Canis lupus familiaris: one gene and its partner. The protein of the gene in region 1 interacts with the protein of each later gene in a pairwise test. Links are inferred from orthologs where the notes say so. Each region holds a gene or a part of one and is shown on either strand. Other genes may lie near its edges.

Region 1 (4,002 bases):
AGGTCTTCCTTACTGTCAGCTCACCACTTTCCTACCAGCCAACATCTACAGGCAACTATGACCATCCTGGCCAACCTCCCTTCTTTCCTGTCTTTCTACTAACCTTCCCGTCTTCCTTTCTTCATTCCAAATTCCTTGTTCCCTTCTACCATACTAGTTGCCTTTCTTTCTTTTTCATTCTGACTGTAAGTCACACACTGTGCTAGACATGGGGAAAACAGCACTATACAAACTCACTTCCCACTTTCAGGAAAGTTATGTTCCATTCAGGAGAACCAAAGATAAATAAGCAAATCAATGAACAAATGAGTACATAATTAAGCCGTGTATTTCAAGTACACACTACAATCTGATGAGATAACAGGGTGACTGGGAAATGAGATGGGTCAAGAATGGGATCTCTGAGAAGAGGATATTTAAGGAAAAATTTGAAGCAGAAGTAACTTGCTCTGAAAACCTGGGAAGAGCTCTCCATACAGCTGGACTAGTGAGGTCCCCTGGTGAGAGGGGGCTGGGGAGGAAGGCAGGAGCCAGATCACATGGAGTGTTGAGGGCCACAAAAAGGAGTTTGGATTTTATCCTAAATGTGATGGGGCTTTACCAGGAGGTGTCTAAAGCCTTTCTTTTCCAGCTGTGCTGTGGAGAACAGACAGTACAGGAACAGAGTGGCTGGGACACTCGTTATAGAACATCCCCTGATGTGAACATCTGGGTGAGTCACTGCCTTTACCGACATAAGAGCTTACAGATTACAGCTGACATAATGAGAATCACACTACACTCATTAATGATTAGTTTCAGCAAGAGTTCTCTTAAGCTATTCAAAGACCTGAAGATGCTAATTTAAAATGTCTTACAATCTGGACTCACCAGTGAAGGTACATAGAAAAGGTCTAAGAGGGAAGATAACTTGTAGTTTAATTATAAAAAGCTTCCCCAGGAACTTACATCCAAAGAATACCTTAGAGAGACCAGACCCTTGCAACATTTGGCATAGGACTAAGGTGCCCAAACCCATTATGCCTTGTAGGCACAAACCACCTGTGTGTGTCCAGAGACAAGATAAGGCTAGGATGATTTCTGTGGAGTTCAGTAAGTTTTTACACTTGACAGTTAACTAGTACAGAAGACGGTATGTGGTAAAATCATAAAATGGTCTATCACTTCAAATGAGTAAGATCAAATATAAACTCTAGAAGCTCAACCATTTTAGAACTGAGCCAATATGTATTTAAAGGGAATGATTTTTGCCTCCTTCATAGAGAAAACTCAGTCTTCTGACTATACATCGAAACTTCCTAATGCACTTTGCGTATGTTAAAAATATTTGAGGCTACATATAAATATTTAATAAGAAAAGTTAAAAAATGTCAATAGCTTACTGGCTAGCTCTCATGCTTTTACTTTATAGTTCACATTACACATGTAGTAGTCATGAAAGAGTCAGCATCACTAAATCACTGTAAGTCTTCTAGCTATCTTGTCACATGATGAGATAGTGACGGGACACTTAACAGTGACAATTTAGTATCACTTACTTGAATACAATTTTTCCAGTTTTCTTTTGTTGGCTTTTCTTCCACAAGTTTAGTTGCAAATTTAAGGCTTCTCCCATACAATTTATGTACTAATGCATGTTTGTATGCAAATGTTAAAACCTATAATATAAAACAAAATAAAGCTTATCTATGAAATGCTTATATTTTATAGCTTATAGCTTTAATAATGAAAACAAGGCCTTAACAGAAGTTCAGCTTTTAAAATAAACATTTTTACATCAAGCAAATTTCAAAAATGTTTCTGAAAGAACAAAAGTTGAATATTCCACAAAATAACTTATTTGGGGGAAAAAAAATAAAACTGTGATAAACCACTAGCTCTTGGAATCTATACCAAAACACCTCTTTATGCAAAGGGGAGCTAAACATAAATGATTGCAAAAAACACAAATAAAGATAGAAGTACAAAACTATAAGGAGTCATTATGAATGACCAAAACTACAAAAGGGTATAAAGTTAAAAAAAAAAAAAAAAGGTATCATATTGTATAAACATATTCTTACTTTCAATTAATTCCTTTTGTATAAGTTTGTACCTTTAATTATTCCATCTGTCAAATATACTTGTAACCATTTATTCATATTTTTGCCCTCCACTTTTAGAATGTAGAGAACAATCTCAAAGAAAGGAATCCTATCACTTTTATTTGTATTCTAGAGCCAAGCAAAGTGTTCAATTCTTTTCAGTGTAATAAACAGACACATAATACAATGCATCGCCCCTAATACAGCAGTAGTATTATGGCAAACAGGCTCATTGATAAGTTTTTCTACGCTGTTCATCCAGTGTTTGGCCTGCAGGCTCCTTCATCTTTCTCCAGCAGCAAGCACAGCAGGGAGCATGAGGCAGACACGCAACAGTCCTATGTCAGCAATGGCAGCAAACACTGCTCAGGGCCCTGCCTGTTCTTAACACTCACTCATTAGGAACTCTGTGTCCTGTCACCACTCCCATTTGACAGGTAAGAAACCGAGGCATCAGAATTCAGTAACTTGCCCAGGGTCATACAGATCAAGGTGGCAGAAGCAAGATGTGAACTCCAGGGTCCGGTTTCAGATCCAAATTCTTAACCTCTGGTGCCGCACTGAATCCTTCAGTTTCCTGACTCTAACCCCATTTCCCCAGAATGAGCACAGCTGCCATAAAACTAGGCCTATCTCCATTCTACTTCTGAGTTAAAATAAAACATTTAGTTAAATTATAAAAGTACTGTGGTGGGAAAAACTCAGGCATAGAGGAAACTTCTCCTATCTCAGGTCTTTATTATAAATTATCAGTTAATCTAGAAAACAAAAACAGTGGCTTGTGCTGGGTTAGGAGAACTCCACCGATTTCATTTACTTTATTTTTCTTTATCTTCAGAAGAAAGGAAGACTGATAAAAACTTATACTTACAGAATCCCTACTGTAAGAATTATGGTAGAAAGCTTAAAGAGATTTAAAATGTTTTTATAGCCCAAATCCAAAAACTTTATCAATGCTACTTCTAAACTGGGTTTTAAAACTGATGAGCTATAAATCCAGATGATAATTACTTAAAAGTCAAAGGGTTTTGAGAAAAAGAGCATCTAAAGTAACTGGAATGCTGCCCTCTCCATCCCTGATGAATCAGCACAGACGTGGGAAGGCACAAACACAATTTCTAGATGTTCTTCTTTCTAGCTTCAGAGAGAACGGATTTAACTGAAAGGCCACTACACACCATTCTCAGGCTGTTTTCCGAATTAGTTTGGCTAAAGAGCCACTGTGCAGATAGAGAAAAATCTGGTAAAATGATTCTGAAACAGGGAAGATGAAGGTCTCTCTAAACAATGCCTTCTTCAGATCCCAGCACAGCCCCACTCCATAGATTTTCTTCCTCTTCTGACCAGGGAGCTGGGAAACCTGAGAGGAGCCAATGGGGCACCAGGGAGGTTTGTAAGTGACCCCCAAGAACTGTGCCAAAACAAGAAGCACAAAGATTACCTTATTGTCAAAAAGATCAGTCCATTTTGTAGTTTCCCAAAAAGTTAACATCACAGAATCCAGAGTATTTTCTCTTTCCTCCTTTCTCCCTTCGGTATCACTGGAAACAGCCCCATCTTGATCTTGTGCATGAAGCAGATGATCAGCTAGGGCACATCCTTTCCGACAGAGGGCATCCACGAGGGTAGATTTTTGTTTGTCCATATCACTGGGCACCAAATCAAAAAACAATTCATAGATCAGTAAAAGTCCTTGAAAAGTGCAGACTTATCTGTAACTATAAACTCATGCATTCTTTCCCTGAGATTGACAATGCAGGAATGTTGGATAGCTAGGTATATCCATCTGTATCGTACATCAAACAAGATGCCTTAGTTGTAATACCACACTAGCTGCTACATTATACATACAGATTAAACAGTTAGGACAGCTGTGTTTGGTTGAAACAGGATGCCACAAAGTAACAGAAGTGAAAGT
Region 2 (4,930 bases), on another chromosome or scaffold:
AATTACCTGAAGATCATGGCTTTACAAGAAGATCTGGAATATTAACCTTGGCTTTCCTAAGGTTTGGTGACTATTAGTTTGAAGGAATTCATGTTTTGAGGAGTACTTCAACAACACATGAATGGTCATATGTTTAACACAGCAGTCAGTGGTTACAGCAACAAGAGGTTTTGAAATCAAGTGGATGTGGAATGAAAATGGTTGATTCCACTTTGATGTTTTGTTTTTTTATAATCTCTAGGCCCAACATTGGCTCAAAGTCACAACCCTGAGATCAAGAGTCACATGCTCCACTGAGCCAGCAAGGTGCCCAGCTCTATTCCACTTTGTAAGTGGAATTCATTTTGCTGCCAATTTCTTTCAGAAACAGATCTCATCTTTTTTGGCTATTTCTGCTAAATGCCCACGCCCCCTCCTCACTGCTCTGGCTCCAGCCCTGCTCTCTGGCTAGCTCCCTTACCTCAAGCCCTCCCCAAGACTCCTCCCCTCACACTGGCTGCTTTGGATCATCCTATTCAATGATATAAGAATATCTAGTTTCTTTGCAACTAGAAACAAATCACCTCTTAATGCTTCCACAATAAATTGATTTGAAAGCTAAACTGGATTGCTCCTTATCCTAACATATACTAATTATAAATGTCAAAACAGGCTCAAACATGGCATTTTTTAAGCTTCAGAGAATATGAGACACATGTACAGTATCCAAACTTCATACACAAGCTATTCACTAAGATGGATTCCTATGACACAACATAAAGGCCTTAGTTTTCTCGACTTTAAAAACAAACAAAAAACCCACTTGCTTATTTTTTTTAACCTGTTTCCTTCTGGAAATCGATTTGAGGTATTCTCTTTCTGGCGATAGCTGTAGATGTGCTGTTAGGAGTATGATTGAGAGATTGGAAAGGCCAGCCAGAGCAAAGGTTTCCACAAGTCCAGCCCTGGCCTAGGATCGGTCAGTTGGCCTTAGTCTTTCAAGTATCACATGTATGATAAGATCTGAACCAAAGTGGTTTGCAGAAGTCACTGGAATTAGGCTGCTAGACAAAAGTCTTCTCTTCTACGGCTGAGCAGCTACCCAAGTCCACCACTGCCAGCAACTCTTCATGTTCACATCTTTGTGGCTACCCACCTTTCCTTTCCACCTTATACCCAGCCTACCAACTTGTTTCTTTGTATTCTTACTAGCTGGATTACTAGCTTCTGCTAATGTTTCCTCTGGATCTCCCTCTGAGCAAAGAAGAAAACTGTTCAGACTGCGAAGAAGTGCGTCTGCTACTGCATTGCATAAACACCTTCTTGGTCGCTCTCAAAAGAGCTGATGTGCTTCTCCAGTAAAAGTCTAGGGCCTTTCACAGAGATGCCCAGGCATACCAGGACACTTTCCTGACTGAAAAAAAAAAAAATTCAACTTGTCTAGCACATGCTATTTTCAGGATTTTATCTGATTGAATTGTTCTTTAAATGTAAGATTTGTGCACATTCATTTTGAATGAATTAAAATCAATCTCAATTTAAAAGTGATATTCCTAGAGCATATATAAACCCTATTTTTAATAACATCTCATGTGTCTATAATCCTGGGCCTAGAGTAAAAGCTCCAAATCTGATAGATCTGGGAGAAGAGCTCATAGATTTAACTTCCAAACACTGACTAGAATTTTTACCTTTCCCAACATTCTTTTGAAAACACTATAAAATATGACCAACTTTGGCAATACAGTTTCATACCCCATTAAAATCACCACGTTGAATTTAATGACATGATTTTTTGTGGTCTGATGAAATATACACTACATAAAGTTTGCCATTTTAACCATTTTTAAGTGTGCAGTTCTATACCATTAAGTATATTCACATTGTTGTGCAACTACCACCACCATCACCTCCCAAACGTTTCCTCCTCCCCAACTGAAATTCTGTATCTGTTACATAGTAATTCCCTATACCACTTCCCTATAGGCCCCTGGCAAGCACCATTCCACTTTCTGAATGACAGGATATTTCAATGATCTATCTCAACTATCTTCTACTGTTGGTTTAAACCACTGTCAAATCTATGCAGTGAGACTCTTGCTAATATTAACATGTCCATTCTCCAAAAGCACATTCTCTTTCCATTTCAGGCATATAACTTGGGAAAAGGGGGATTAAAAGTACAAATTTAAGTGAGCACTTTTTATTACCTTAGTCCTAGATTGCTATTTGCCTTCCTGTTGGTTTTTATGCAGGGACTTTTTTTTTTTTTTTTTTAAGATTTTATTTATTTATTCATGAGAGACACAGAGAGAGACAGAGAGAGAGAGAGAGAGAGAGAGAGAGAGGCAGAGACACAGGCAGAGGGAGAAGCAGGCTCCATGCAGGGAGCCCGATGTGGGACTTGATCCCAGAACTCCAGGATCACGCCCTGAGCCGAAGGCCAGCGCTAAACCACTGAGCCACCCAGGGATCCCCAATGCAGGGACACTTATTAACCTCTTTTTTAACTCATTTGCCATCTGTCTTGAATCTTCAAAGCTTAATTCCCTAAGAAGATTACAGGATTTTAACAGTTCGTCATGATGTCACTGTGAAAATCTTTGCAAGTGTCTCTCTGTTAACTCCTCTGCTTATCAAGCCACATAATTTGTTTTTATCACATACTCTAATTTCTTCTCTTTGGTGTTGTAACAGATTTTTTTTTTTTTTTTTTTGGTGTTGTAACAGATTAATATTCTTCAAAAAATTCTTCTCACTTACTGAAGTTGAGTCAGAGAATATGAGAATATTTGCTATTTTAAGGAAAAACTTAGATGTGTCAAAGTCATTTATAGATATCTTTTAAAAAGAGCAGATTACGCCTAATTATGTATTCCAATGGCACAGATTATTTACAAATAGGGAACTTAAAATTCTTTACTAAAATATTCTGGGAGTAGTATCCTGCTAATTTTCTGTATATTTTCATGGATATCCTATTTATTGACTGTAATACTAAGATGCACTGAGGTCACATACTCAGAATGGTTACTGAACAGTTTTCCAAGGTATTTTTTCAGAAGTGTTACCTCCAATGAGTACTTACCATGAACTTTGTTTCTCCTTTTGACAGAGTATCTGTAATAAAATGGACCTTCTGTAACTGTTCCACAACACGATGTAACAGTTTTGGCTGTGGAAACATAAATAGGAAATAAGAAGATTAATAAGATTAATAAAAAAACATTTTTAACATAAATTTTCTGATTATCTATGGAGAAATGCCTAGTATTCCTCTGTTCTAAGTACTTTTTTCTTCTAGCACAAAATTCATTTATCAAATGAAACATATTTTTAGGAGCCACCATTCTTCACCAATATCATGATACCCCCAAACAGACATCATTTGTGTTTATCTGCTTCATTAAATCAAAAAGTTAGCTGCTTCATCTTTAAAAGGTATATATTCTAAAATCACAAATGTTTTGCTTTCATGGGTTTTCTAATAGGAATAAAGTTTCTTAATATAATATTGCTTAATAGAAAAATATTACCTTAATGAAAACCTCAATATTATACTGGATATTTTAGAAATATCCATGATAGATAATAAATAATTCTGGAAATGTTTACTAAATTTTTTTCTTTTTCAAAAATCAGACTGTCCCTAATTCCCTGCAGAAAAACACCACTATGTATTCCCTTGCTTTTTTTTTTTTTTTTTAAATGTATCCCTTTCAACCACTTACTCTGCCTTTCACAGAATTCAATCAGTACAAAGTACAACTGACTTTTCAGAAAGATTAAAACAAAAATTCATTCCGGGATATCCAACTGCCATGTAGAAAATGATATTCACTGTTGCATAAGACTTAGCACATTTGATTATAAATAAATCCTGTGATACCTGTTTGGCTGATTCAGAGGTAAAGCTTGGATGGGTCAAAAGAACATCCATGTCACCACTGGACTCTGCACCTATGATAATAAAAATATGTATGGAATTCTCGATGTAAATCTATCAATTAGGCAAACGCAGAAACCAAAGTGATGTCACATGTATGAGCTTACTTCTTCCAGCCTAACTTTCTTTTTCACTACACTTCATACTCAGTTACAAGATTTCAATTTTCTGTTCAGCTATTCACATAGGCTGATGTAAATGGAAGAATCTGGAGTAACAACAGTAACTGGCATTAGATATGTATTACGCACAGTTGGCTACATGTATTAAAAATGCACCTAAATAACTACTCAATAATGAATAAAAACAACATTCTTACAAAGAAGACATTCAGATGGCCAAGAGACACACCAAAAGATGCCCATCATCTGGGAAATGCAAATCAAAACCACAATGAGATACCACTTCAAACCTGTCAGAATGGCTAACATTAGCAACACTAGAAACAACAGGTGTTGGCGAGGACATGGAACAAGGGGAACCCTCTTGCACTGTTGGTGGGAGTGCAAACTAATGCAGCCACTCTGGAACACAGTATAGAGGTTCTCCCAAAAATTAAAAATAAAATTGCCAATAAATTAATTAATTAATAAAATAAAATAAAATAAAATAAAATAACCATATGATCCAGTAGTTCTACTGCTAGGTAGTTACCCAACAAAAAACACTAATTCATAAAGATAACATGCACTCCTATGTTTACTGAAACATTATTTACAAAAGCCAAGAATCGGAAGCAACCAAGTTTCCATCAATAGATGACCAAGCAGTCCATCGACAGATGAATGAAGATATGGTAAATACACACAATAGAATATTACTTAGCCATAAAAAAACCCACGAATCTTGCCATTTGCAACAACATGGATGGATGCAGAGGATATTATGCTAAGTGAAGTAAATCAGTCATAGAAAGACAATTACCATATGATTTCACTCTTATATGGAATTTAAAAAACAAAACAGACAGTGACACCCGGGTGGCTCAGTGGTTGAGTGTCTGCC

What was found. The genes of interacting proteins can lie anywhere in the genome.
Region 2: the proteins of TPP2 (region 1) and POLB interact in binary tests that used the Homo sapiens proteins (3 or more experiments, as listed by UniProt). The two-hybrid records come from large-scale screens. The link is inferred for Canis lupus familiaris from reciprocal best matches to the Homo sapiens genes TPP2 and POLB.

What each region holds. Positions count from the first base shown.
Region 1 is NC_049243.1:52,328,565-52,332,566, reverse strand, and holds part of TPP2 (tripeptidyl-peptidase 2), read right to left. Parts: intron 3,734-4,002; coding exon 3,526-3,733; intron 1,659-3,525; coding exon 1,539-1,658; intron 1-1,538. UniProt on the Homo sapiens protein: Cytosolic tripeptidyl-peptidase that releases N-terminal tripeptides from polypeptides and is a component of the proteolytic cascade acting downstream of the 26S proteasome in the ubiquitin-proteasome pathway.
Region 2 is NC_049237.1:24,043,834-24,048,763, forward strand, and holds part of POLB (DNA polymerase beta), read right to left. Parts: intron 3,940-4,930; coding exon 3,869-3,939; intron 3,155-3,868; coding exon 3,068-3,154; intron 1-3,067.